3 linked regions of the Coturnix japonica genome follow. The protein of the gene in region 1 interacts with the protein of each later gene in a pairwise test. Links are inferred from orthologs where the notes say so. Each region holds a gene or a part of one and is shown on either strand. Other genes may lie near its edges.

The links.
Region 2: the proteins of NPAS2 (region 1) and ARNTL2 interact in binary tests that used the Homo sapiens proteins (3 or more experiments, as listed by UniProt). The link is inferred for Coturnix japonica from reciprocal best matches to the Homo sapiens genes NPAS2 and BMAL2.
Region 3: the proteins of NPAS2 (region 1) and ARNTL interact in binary tests that used the Homo sapiens proteins (3 or more experiments, as listed by UniProt). The link is inferred for Coturnix japonica from reciprocal best matches to the Homo sapiens genes NPAS2 and BMAL1.

The regions. Positions count from the first base shown.
Region 1 is NC_029516.1:120,177,570-120,181,226, reverse strand, and holds part of NPAS2 (neuronal PAS domain-containing protein 2), read right to left. Parts: intron 967-3,657; coding exon 820-966; intron 1-819. UniProt on the Homo sapiens protein: Transcriptional activator which forms a core component of the circadian clock.
Region 2 is NC_029516.1:62,652,864-62,656,117, reverse strand, and holds part of ARNTL2 (aryl hydrocarbon receptor nuclear translocator-like protein 2), read right to left. Parts: intron 1,853-3,254; coding exon 1,765-1,852; intron 335-1,764; coding exon 226-334; intron 1-225. UniProt on the Homo sapiens protein: Transcriptional activator which forms a core component of the circadian clock.
Region 3 is NC_029520.1:11,881,461-11,884,955, forward strand, and holds part of ARNTL (aryl hydrocarbon receptor nuclear translocator-like protein 1), read right to left. Parts: intron 3,394-3,495; coding exon 3,287-3,393; intron 2,938-3,286; coding exon 2,787-2,937; intron 2,395-2,786; coding exon 2,306-2,394; intron 1,782-2,305; coding exon 1,673-1,781; intron 274-1,672; coding exon 180-273; intron 1-179. UniProt on the Homo sapiens protein: Transcriptional activator which forms a core component of the circadian clock.

The sequences.
Region 1 (3,657 bases):
TGCACAACCATCACTCAGCAAGGACCAAACTATGTGCTGTTAACCCCATCTGGGCTGAAACCAGGGCATGGGGTGCAGTGCAGTGCTAGCTCAAGTAATGGCAAATAACTTTATGGATTTTGATACATTGGCTGAACACAGTCTTGTGAACAGCAAAAATATGCAGCCATGCTTTCCATTTTGATAAAGGAATCTGAGAGCAGGTTTCAAGATTGCAAAAAAAAAAGAAACAAACAAAAACAAAAGGCATCAATGTTTTGGTATATTTTCAACTCCATTTTCAATCAGCACAAATATATTACCTGAAAAATTTCAAGTGGAATGTATAGAGTTGCAATCAGATACTGAATTCAAAGATCTGATCGTGTCTCTCTACTGGACTTTCATAAGCTGCATTTTAGCAAATATATCACCACAGTGAGGTAGTGGGTGCGTGAGTGTTTCATAGCAGCTGTGGAACAGCGGGTCACCTCCTCTGGTGCAGATAATTTGGAGCGCTTCTTCATGACTGGTGAAAATGTGTAACCAGTAGTGCTGACTATGGTGAAAAATAGTGTTTTGTAGCCAAGAATCAGCTCTGTCGAACAGTGTTATTGTGCTCATTGTATGGGTTGTATTTACCATGGAAATAAATAGGAGGCATTACTTGTGGAGCATCCTAAGCATACATGGCCCAGGACAATTCCTCTTTACTCAATGCAACCCCAGCAAGTGAAAAAATCGGACACCAGTGCACCTAGGCCCTGGGGCTAATTTTAAGTCACCAGCCCTATCAAGTGCTTCACAGGAGGATACTTGGCCCTCCCAGCAGCAACGCACCTGCACGCTGGAATCCTGGACCAGGCAGAGCTGCTCCTGGATCTTCTGGAGCTCCTCCTGTTGCCAGCGGATGTTGGCCTGCAGGATCCGCGTTCGCTGCTCTAGCTGGTCCTTGATGGTCTGGAACATGCTAAACTGGGCAGAGAACTTAAAAAAAAAAGAGGAAAAATTAGGCTTTACAAAGAAAACAGGCCTTCATGCAACACTATTCTGTAAGAAGTTATTAGTTTTTTGACTGCAGAGCACAGTCAAAGGGCTAAAGTATGTGTTTGTAATATACTACCATCTAGGCAGAGATAAATCTTTTCTATTTTCAATTTTACGCCCATATATTAAATTGCTTCACTTACAGTGATCTGCTTACAACTGACCCTGTTCTGTTAAGGAATTATCGGAATGCCCATTTTTGAGAGTACGCTGCTTTAGAATATCAAGAGCATCTTAACTGGATGGCAAATGAGTGCATTTTTATCACTGGCTTGTATTTGGAGCCCTTAGCACAACATAGCTGTATTCCAAATGTGTTTTACCAATACTTTCGTTTTTCCATGCAGAAACAGCTGCATTGCAATGGTTTATTCTGCTGTTTACTTACTATAAGATCATGCCACAGCTCGCCACAGCAAACGTTTTCTAGATTTCTGCCACTGTGCAGTGGCCAAGCTGCAAGAAATACTCATTAAGCTATTTTTACACGAGGTAGAACAAATAGCTCGGCTCAGTGGGAGAAAGGCTATCCTAAACAATAATGTAGAATGGAGATCACTAATGAGGGTCAAGAAGAAAGTGCAGCCTCCATAGCAGCAATGCTTTGCACCAAATGGAATGGCTCCATAAACAAAGAGGGGACAACATGGCCGTAAATACTCCGTTTTCTTTGGTGTCTACATGTATAACTCAATGTCCACCAAAACTCATTATAACTTTAATTGGCTTCGGAACTGTTGCATTGCACAACTTCATATTCCAAAAGTAAAAAACACACTTTGAGACAAACCCACAGTGTTACGGCTTCAAAAAAAAATCAGTGTGCTTTTCTGTTATCAGGGCATCCAAGAATCCAAATTGTCTTTGAAAAGACGCAGTGCTGGAAGCATCCAGGAGAAAAGAAAGGAGAAAAGGAAAGAAAGAAGGCATTTTGCTATGACTTGTTGAACTCGAAGATGGCGCATTGTTCCAGTGGCTGTTTTTTGTAGCTCTATGCTGATGGGTGAAGCACACAAAAATGTATTGCTGTTGATTTTAAGTCATTACTCCATTGTTTTACTCAGCATCTTTTATATGTAAGATATTTGGTTTCTCATTTCCCACTTAACAGCAACAGTAGTTAGCTGGTCTACCAGATGAGAGCTGCTAAGGAAAAGGGTGAGAAACTCCTTCCTTGCTTTTTCCTACCCAAAGTTTACTGATAATTTTTGCATTGATCCCTGTGACTACAAAGCTTCTATTGTTTTTGTGCGGTGAGAAATAGCAATTGACCTGTACCCCAAAGTATTTATCTCAAGATCGTCGACTGCTCTACTAATTAAAGGAGAAATCTGTAATTATATAATACATTAAAAGAGCTTAACGCAAAATGTTCCACAACAAAGCACTGCACTGCTTTAACTTTGCCATTAGCATCAGATAAAGTTGATATTCATCTCACTTAGGTAATAGCAAACTTCTTGGGATCCTCAGAAAAGTGCATGGTACAGGTGACTGTACCAGCTTCCCAAGAACAGTCAAACACGACAGACTTAACCTGTGAGATATCTATTATTGCAGAGGATCACAGTTTAATCAAGGGAGAAAAAGATCCGTAAAGAACCACGCAAGCTGAGGTGTTCCCTCACTTGCAGGGTGCTGAGCAGAAGAACAGATGCCTCGAAGACATTCTGTTCCTGCAAGTTTCATTAAAACGGTAGCTGGGTAAAGGCAAGACACTCTATTTTTTGCTTGGTTTCCTAATGAAATGAACCTTTCAGTTCCTTCTGCCTTCCTACTTTAAGCCCAATGCTGGAGACGTGCAGCAGAGTTGTGAGAGCCTCAACAGCACCGTGCTGCCGTGATGCCATGTGAGCTCTGGCCAGGCAATAGGAAGGAGGACCCCCTACTGCACAGCCCTGCAGGGCACAGTCCCTGCAAACCAGGTTTCATTGGCTTTGAGGTTCACAGAACAACTCGTTCATTCTCGCTGTTACCAAACAACACCTGTGTAATCCCAAACGGAGTTATTAGTGCTGATTATTATTCAGTCATCAGCATCCGCTGTGTTGTAGGGGATTTAATTTATTACAATGAGGGAGACAAACAAACAAATATTCTAATAGGGAGCACTTTGTTTAAGGCAAACCACTGACATTCAGGCGGCACCTAGTGCTGTGCTTTAAGGTTTGTTCAGTAGGCAAGGTTTGCTTCCCCCAGTTCAGAAATTGCCAAGGGACTGAGCCTGTAGCCATGCAACAGAATGGCACCAGGGTCTGGTGGCAAAGATGGAGCTGCAGCACCAAAAAGTGTTGTGATGGGACAGGGAGGCAGCAGGGCCTTTGGTTAACAACCAGAAAGCATCCCTCCAGCAAGGGCTGCGGGATGGGAGAATGGAAAGCAGAAAAAAGTCATGCAGAACATGCACTGGGTTACAATAAATAAACTAATTGATGTTTGAAAGTGCATTAATGAATAAAGGAGAGGGATATCTGTAAAAGAAAATGAATGCTCAGAGCAGATAATTGATATGCTGTTTCTTCACCGCATGCTGGTGTGGAATCGTGAAAAGAATATTAAATACAAAAGATAAATGAGAATTTGTTATTTTAGAGCAGGGATCCTTTTTATGTTTTATATGCTACTGGAAGA
Region 2 (3,254 bases), about 58 Mb from region 1:
CCTATCTTGGATGAATGCTCTTTCAAATCCTTATTTGAAGATCATAGCTCAACTGGAAGAGAGCTGTAAGACAAGGCATCTCTATTAAGAGTCCCCTCATCTTAAAGATACTGACAAACCCCTTGAAATTTTATAATTTGTACATGGTTATATATCAGTGCACTAAAACAAATAGAGAATTATTATAAACATTTTCTCCTACAGCCAAAGTGAAATAAATCTTACCGAGGAGAGGCTCGTTACTGGGAAATGGAATAGCACCTTGGTTTTGTTCTGAAGTCTCCAGAACTTCTGCTTCTGAAGGACATAACTGAATCAACTCTTTATTCGGCACCTGTAAAAACAGAAGTAGTAGAATTAAATTCTAAAGTTAACCATAATTACTACATTACTGTAGCAGTAGTAACGTATTATTAAAATTAAAATAGTATTATTAAAATTAAAATAGTATTATTAAAATTAATGTAAATAGCAGCCAAAGCATTAAGAACTAAATGAGTCAGTAAAAGGCAGGCATCAAGGCAGACCTATTGCATATACAAATATTTTCTTTTATTTTTTTTTAAATTTAATTTAATTTTTTAACTAGAGTACACACAGCCCCGTCCTTTGTTAAAATAAGAGGTGATACTAACATATCTGTCAAAAATACTTCACAGTTTTGGCATCTGCCCTATTGTGTGTCTAACTGAACAATCAGTAAATAAATCCAGCACAACAAGATGCACCAGCATACAATTTCCATGTCCAATACTGTAAACTCCAAATTCCCAGTGACATCAATCTATGTCAATATTGACACATTCTTGCTAAAAGATAAAAACCCACGTATCTTCTATATGTTATGTGCATTATACCATATGAATCACGAACTCGAGTATTTTCTATTATTAATTTGCATCTTGTTACCATAGGGATGGTGGAAGTCATCAAAATACAAATATACCAGCAAAAAAATATCTTTCCCTTTGCTTCATGTAGGACACGTACACAATTTAGCAGAATGGATGCCTGTCTTGTGTATAGTCTGTTAGGAAATTATAACAAAGTTGAAATGCTTTACCAAAGCCTTTTAAAACAAACAGGATACCAAAGGACAGAACAAAGGAACATCTTCAATGAATACAAGTAAGTTATCCTTATGATGAGATGCTGTATGCCAGAAAGAGTTCAGTACATGTATGTATGTCAACTAACTCTCAGGAAGACAGACCTGAAGTAGGAAAGGGGTTAACTGAGCATCACAAAAAAAAACCAAAACTAAAAACTGGGAACACGAAGCATATATTTTTAAAGGAGTCTTCAGGAACACTAAGGTTAAAGTAGAGAAAAAATGTTTGAGAAAAAGCAAGACCTGGTGTTTAACTCAGGTTGTCCATCTGAACTCAAGCAGGTAAGAAACACTTTTACACTCTGATGACCACTTAGTAAAAGGTTTGAGGCAACACAAAGTTCAGAAGAGTCACATTTATCACATTGAGCATATCATATAATTTTAGTAAAGATCACAGTAACTGAACAGTGACTGCAGTCTTGGCTTCAGAGAATGCCCACTTGAGGCTTGAAGTGATATCCTAGTAACCGAGGTTGGCTTTTCTGCTGCTATCAAACATCTTACAAAACAAATTTTCATAGCTGCCATGATGCTGGCAGTATCTTACACATTCTCTCACAAAAACACAAGACTGAGTAAATGTCTTAAACATGAGCTTTGAGCTATCTGACAGTAACCTCTCAGCTTTTTAAAGATGGCGATATACTTACATTGCTGCAATTTACAGTTAAAGCTGGAGACGGTGACTTTCTCAAGAGATGTGATGGACTTAATTCCCCAGGTGGTGAAGAATGCAACCTAAAATTATAGGCACAGTTGATTTATCAATTTACGAAGTCATGCTGATTGTGAAATGAAAAACAGCCTGCTGCAGAACCCGCTAGATCCCTCCTCCCCAGTGATGAAGTATGAGCCAGTTAAACTGAGATGTTGTCCTAAATTCTCCCGAAGATTCTAAATTCTCTTGCTCTAGTTTTTATAGTGCAAAAAGAAAAAGAGATCAATAAAGTCCATCCGTCTTTTAACTACTTGAGCATGCTTTTCTTTTTCCTTCACTCATCAACACTGACAGACCAAAGAGTACAAGGTTTCATTTATGCATACTGGAATAAATAAGTATATTTGAAACACATACCAAATAGAGACAATGAAAGCAAGTTCTGCTAAGTGGTGGTGGGAAGACTAATAACCATCTTATCAGCCTCCTTTATCAAACATGCCAGATATGAAAGTAACGTTGGGAATTTTGTACCAGGGCCTTTTGGATCTTTCTTCCCATCTCCACCTGCTCTTCCTGACTCCCAAAGGGAAAGGCTCTCTGGAGTGGGGCACTCCGAATGCTTCAGTTCACATCACATCCTCAGATGCAAAATGTGGTAAGGGAGGAAAGGCAGGAAATAAGTGAATAAATAGCCTATCTAAAGTAAGCATAGTTACTTGAACCAAATATCCATTAGTTCCCCACATTTCAAAATCCAGTGTACAATTTGGTAAGCTGCACTGCTGTTTCTAAATGCTGTGACAGGAAGATCAGATTGAGTAACTTTTAGCATCCCTGTTACTGAAGTGATCATTCCTCAGATGCTAAACCAATTCAGATATGCTCATAAGTAGAGGTACAGATACAGCTCTGACATTCTTTTAAACTTGGTGATGCTTAATGCACAGCTCTTAAGTCATCTGTGTCTCATGGACATTAAAGAACAAGAGAGGATGTTACATCCATTCTACTGGAATATGTCTCTGGTCACAAAATTAGTTAATAAAAAAGCTGCTGTTAACTTCTTTTGTCTAACTTTGACTGCTCCCAGAGTTCAGCAAAAGGCAGGGGATCTAAATCAAGAATATAACACCAATGTTAGAAGCTCCAGAATAAGCATCAAGATAAGCTCTATGCTTTACCATCAGAGATGAGAACTTCTGCCAACTTACTTTGGTCTTTAAAAAATCCAATAGAATGTCTCTTTCCCTTTAGAGGTAGTACTGATGGGAAGACATTACGAATGGTATTACTAAAGTGCAACATTTCCTCTTTGATGCAGATGGTATCAATAGGAATTTTTTTTGTCAGTGCTTTTCCTTGTCCTTTATGGATAATGTCAGTAACCTGTCAACACGCTGCAGATGGATTTTTTTTTTTTTTAATAGCAATCCTTTCATCCTATCACTTCTGATGCACTTATTCATTTCTTCCTCTCAT
Region 3 (3,495 bases), on another chromosome or scaffold:
CTGCTCTCTGCACTTTAAAGACAACGGTACTGGGATTTTGGACACCAGAATACTTTGAGCTGCTGCTGGACTTCTTCAGCCAAGCAGTTTAAGAGTTCAGCACCACAAATGTTTTGCAAGCATCATCTCAGTGTGCTCGATGCTAATATTACAAGCCTGTCTGTAAAGCTGGTTCTTACCTTCTTGCTTCCAGGGGAGGAGGTATCAGGCGGCGGCGTGCTGGTAATGTTCAGTGGACTTGAACCACAGCTGGATGGTGATGATCCTCTTATCCTATTGTGTGAGAAATAGGGAATGAATTCACCAGAAACTTGGAGACTCGGATGCTGACCTCAGTATCAGGTGGCATACTTCATTTGTGCAGTTTTCTCAATTTTCAGTATTATTCAAACCACCTATACCACCTATAGCAACTTCTAATTTACAGCAAGATCAAGTTTGTGAGTAGTCCAGCTTACCCAGTCTATAAAGTTTGCCTTCTTGACATGTTAATTCCCTTTCCCTTGTTTATTTGTGCACCCTTCACTGAGACTGAGCAAGGAAATGATCCTGCTTACTGAAGTAACCTCTTTTCTTCTACATTGTGCCTCAGCTTCTACCAGCTAAGAGTGTGAGCTGTCTCCATTGCACAAATCTAGACTTGCTAAATGGGCTACTGCTAGAGAAGTGTGCTAAGTACATAGAACAGTCCATTTTATATATATATATATAAATATATTTATATATATACAATATATACAATACAATATATATATAATACTATATATACACATAATACTTAATACCCTTTGAGTCAGCATTTCCTCATTTCAATTCTCCCTAACGTGATCAAATATCTATTTTTTTAAAAGTTATTATTATAGAATAATGTATTAACTACAAAATCAACAAACCCTGAGACTAAATGGAGGTGAGGCAGTTACAGGGAAAAGCAGTGGAGAAGGAGGTCTCATCCTTGGCAGAGTTCCTCTGGGAAAACTGAACAGAAGGCAGCTTTGGCAAATAGTAACATCTGCTCAAGAAGGACTGGAACTAACCCAGGCTCTTGAAATGAAACATAGGTGGTAAGGTATTCTTCTACACCTACTGAAGCTAATTAAGTGTTCTGCAACTACTGAAAGGGAAGTCAAGTTTCAGAGTATTGGTTCAACCTGAGTGATAGCTTTTTTCTTTTTTTTCCCTCCTTCTTATCCTGATACACAGGAAAGTTACATTATGTGCTAAATCTGTTCTCTTAGAGGGGCAGTGTATGGCCTAGAGCAAGCACAACTGGAGGGACAGGACCAAAATGGCAAATATTACTGCTGCTGAGCATCTGTTGGATGAGACCAGTTTTACAGGAAGGGAAACAACTCCCAAAACTAAAATAATGAAGGGCAATCTATAGAAATTAATAGTGACACCCAATGAACATAGCAGCTCAGACAGGATGGAGAAGAGATGGCTGGATTTACCATTTCTGGTCTCTTAGAGCAGAAAGTCAGGAGGCTGTAACTCTGTCTTTCTTTCACTTTTCGCTATGACTGTCTTAGGTATCCTGAATAGGAACCTGTAGCTGTCTACTCATGAAATGCAATTACATCCTTATGTATTCAGCTTGAAGAAAGAGTTCTTTAATTTCATTTATGAAGAACTACACTAATTTTTCTTACTTCATGCTATTTTCTCTTACCTGTGAATTTCCATGATTTCTTCAGCAATCATCCTTCCTATTTTTCCTGCCCCAGCTCTCGTTCCTCCTGGAATTCCAGGGACGGTAGGATGGCTCCTTTTTGGGCCACCTGAAACAAGGAAGGTAGCTCTAAGGTCAGGTAAAACTTTCATTTTCCAAACAGCATTCATATTTAGGTATGAATCCCACAGCTGGTCAGAACTAGATGAGCTTTGTTTAAATTCTACCACTTCCTCAGTACCTTCATGCATACAGGAAGCCCTGGCTTGGACTCAGCTGTGCTGTGTTTCTTAGACATCTCTCTGTGCTCCTAGGCAAGCCACATTCTGAAGGTGATCAGAATCTGCCTGCTTTGAGCATCTGGCTGAGCTTCTTGTCCGGACTTGGTAAAGAATAGCTCATCACACCTGCTTTGTTCTGCAGCTGAACAGACTCCTCTCCAGCCTTGTTTATGCTTTACTTTGAGTGAACCACTTGCCAGCACAGACAACATGGACAGGAGCTGCGTTAGTGGTCCCTTTTTTTTGCCTCAAGCCACATTTTTCTTTACTAACAAGCTCTCTGTGCAACACTGCAACAAATGTGTGCACATAGGCATAACTGCCACTACTTTCCTAGTGGCAAAGTAGTTACCTTCTCCAGCCTGAAGCACGCTGTCCATGCTATGCGGAGAAGCTGCGAGTTGTGGGAAGGCTGCATCTCCGCTATCAAGTACGTTGGTGCTGTGGATTTCAAGAGTTACTGTTAGTGATGGAAAGCCCTGCAGAACAGTCAGTGCAGTGTGTCAAAATGGAATGCTACAGGGTTTAAGTAGCTTGTGAGTCACTATCACACAAAGCAACATTGGGGCTGACAAGGCTAAACAGCAGAAAGAAAACACTGTTACTAAGTAGTTACTCCATTGCAAAGGCACTGCAGCTCTGCAAAACCCCCAAGGGAAAAAAAGATGGAAGGGGGGAGAAGATCCCATAGGAGCCTAGAAATGCATCTTTCTTAAGTCCTTACAAAGATGGACATGCTGGTTTTCCCAGTGAAAGGAAAAACCAAACCTCATCTGCCCAGTAATTCAAAGCACTTAGCCCACCCGTGCATCTGCTACATCTAAAATACTTACGAAACAACAGTATTTGTTGAGACGATGTATTCTACTTCTTTGGTCCAAGGGTTCATGAAACTGAACCAGCGACTCCTCAAGGTAATAAAAGAACCGTCTTTTATTTTAAACTTGTAGCAGTTTGTTGTAATTTTTTCTCTTGTCTGCAAAACTGAAAACAGACAGCAAGTAACTCTGTGGGAAACAGCAGCACTGACTGCAGAAGTGGAGTCCTTCTGACAGAAAACTCTATCCAGTGAACTCTGCCCTGCACGCATGGAGATAAGTCTGATTCCTGCAGCTTTACCCCTTCATGTAGTGGAAGCTTCAATTATTCACTATAAATCCATGGCAGTCTAAGAGGCGTGTTGCTTGGTATGTGCAAACAACATTCTCAATTAAAGCACTTACAGAAATAGACAAAAAAGAAAGAGCTTGAACAGATTTGGGTAGTTTTCTTAATAAGTAATAATTCCAAGTATTTTTTACAATTCATTTACCCAATGTATTAATCGTCATACCTTGTCTATGGCATTCTGCAAGGTGTCCTATATCATCTTGATGGAAATATTCATAACATGAAGTACCTAGGAGTTCCTGGGGTAAGTATGCCAGGATGGCTGTTGCCCTGGGGAATGGGAAGGATGGGGAGGAAAGGAGGAAAATAAAACAAAAAAGAGAAAAAAAATTATTCACAAGTTGAAGTATTTGTGACAGCCTCCTGAAAATC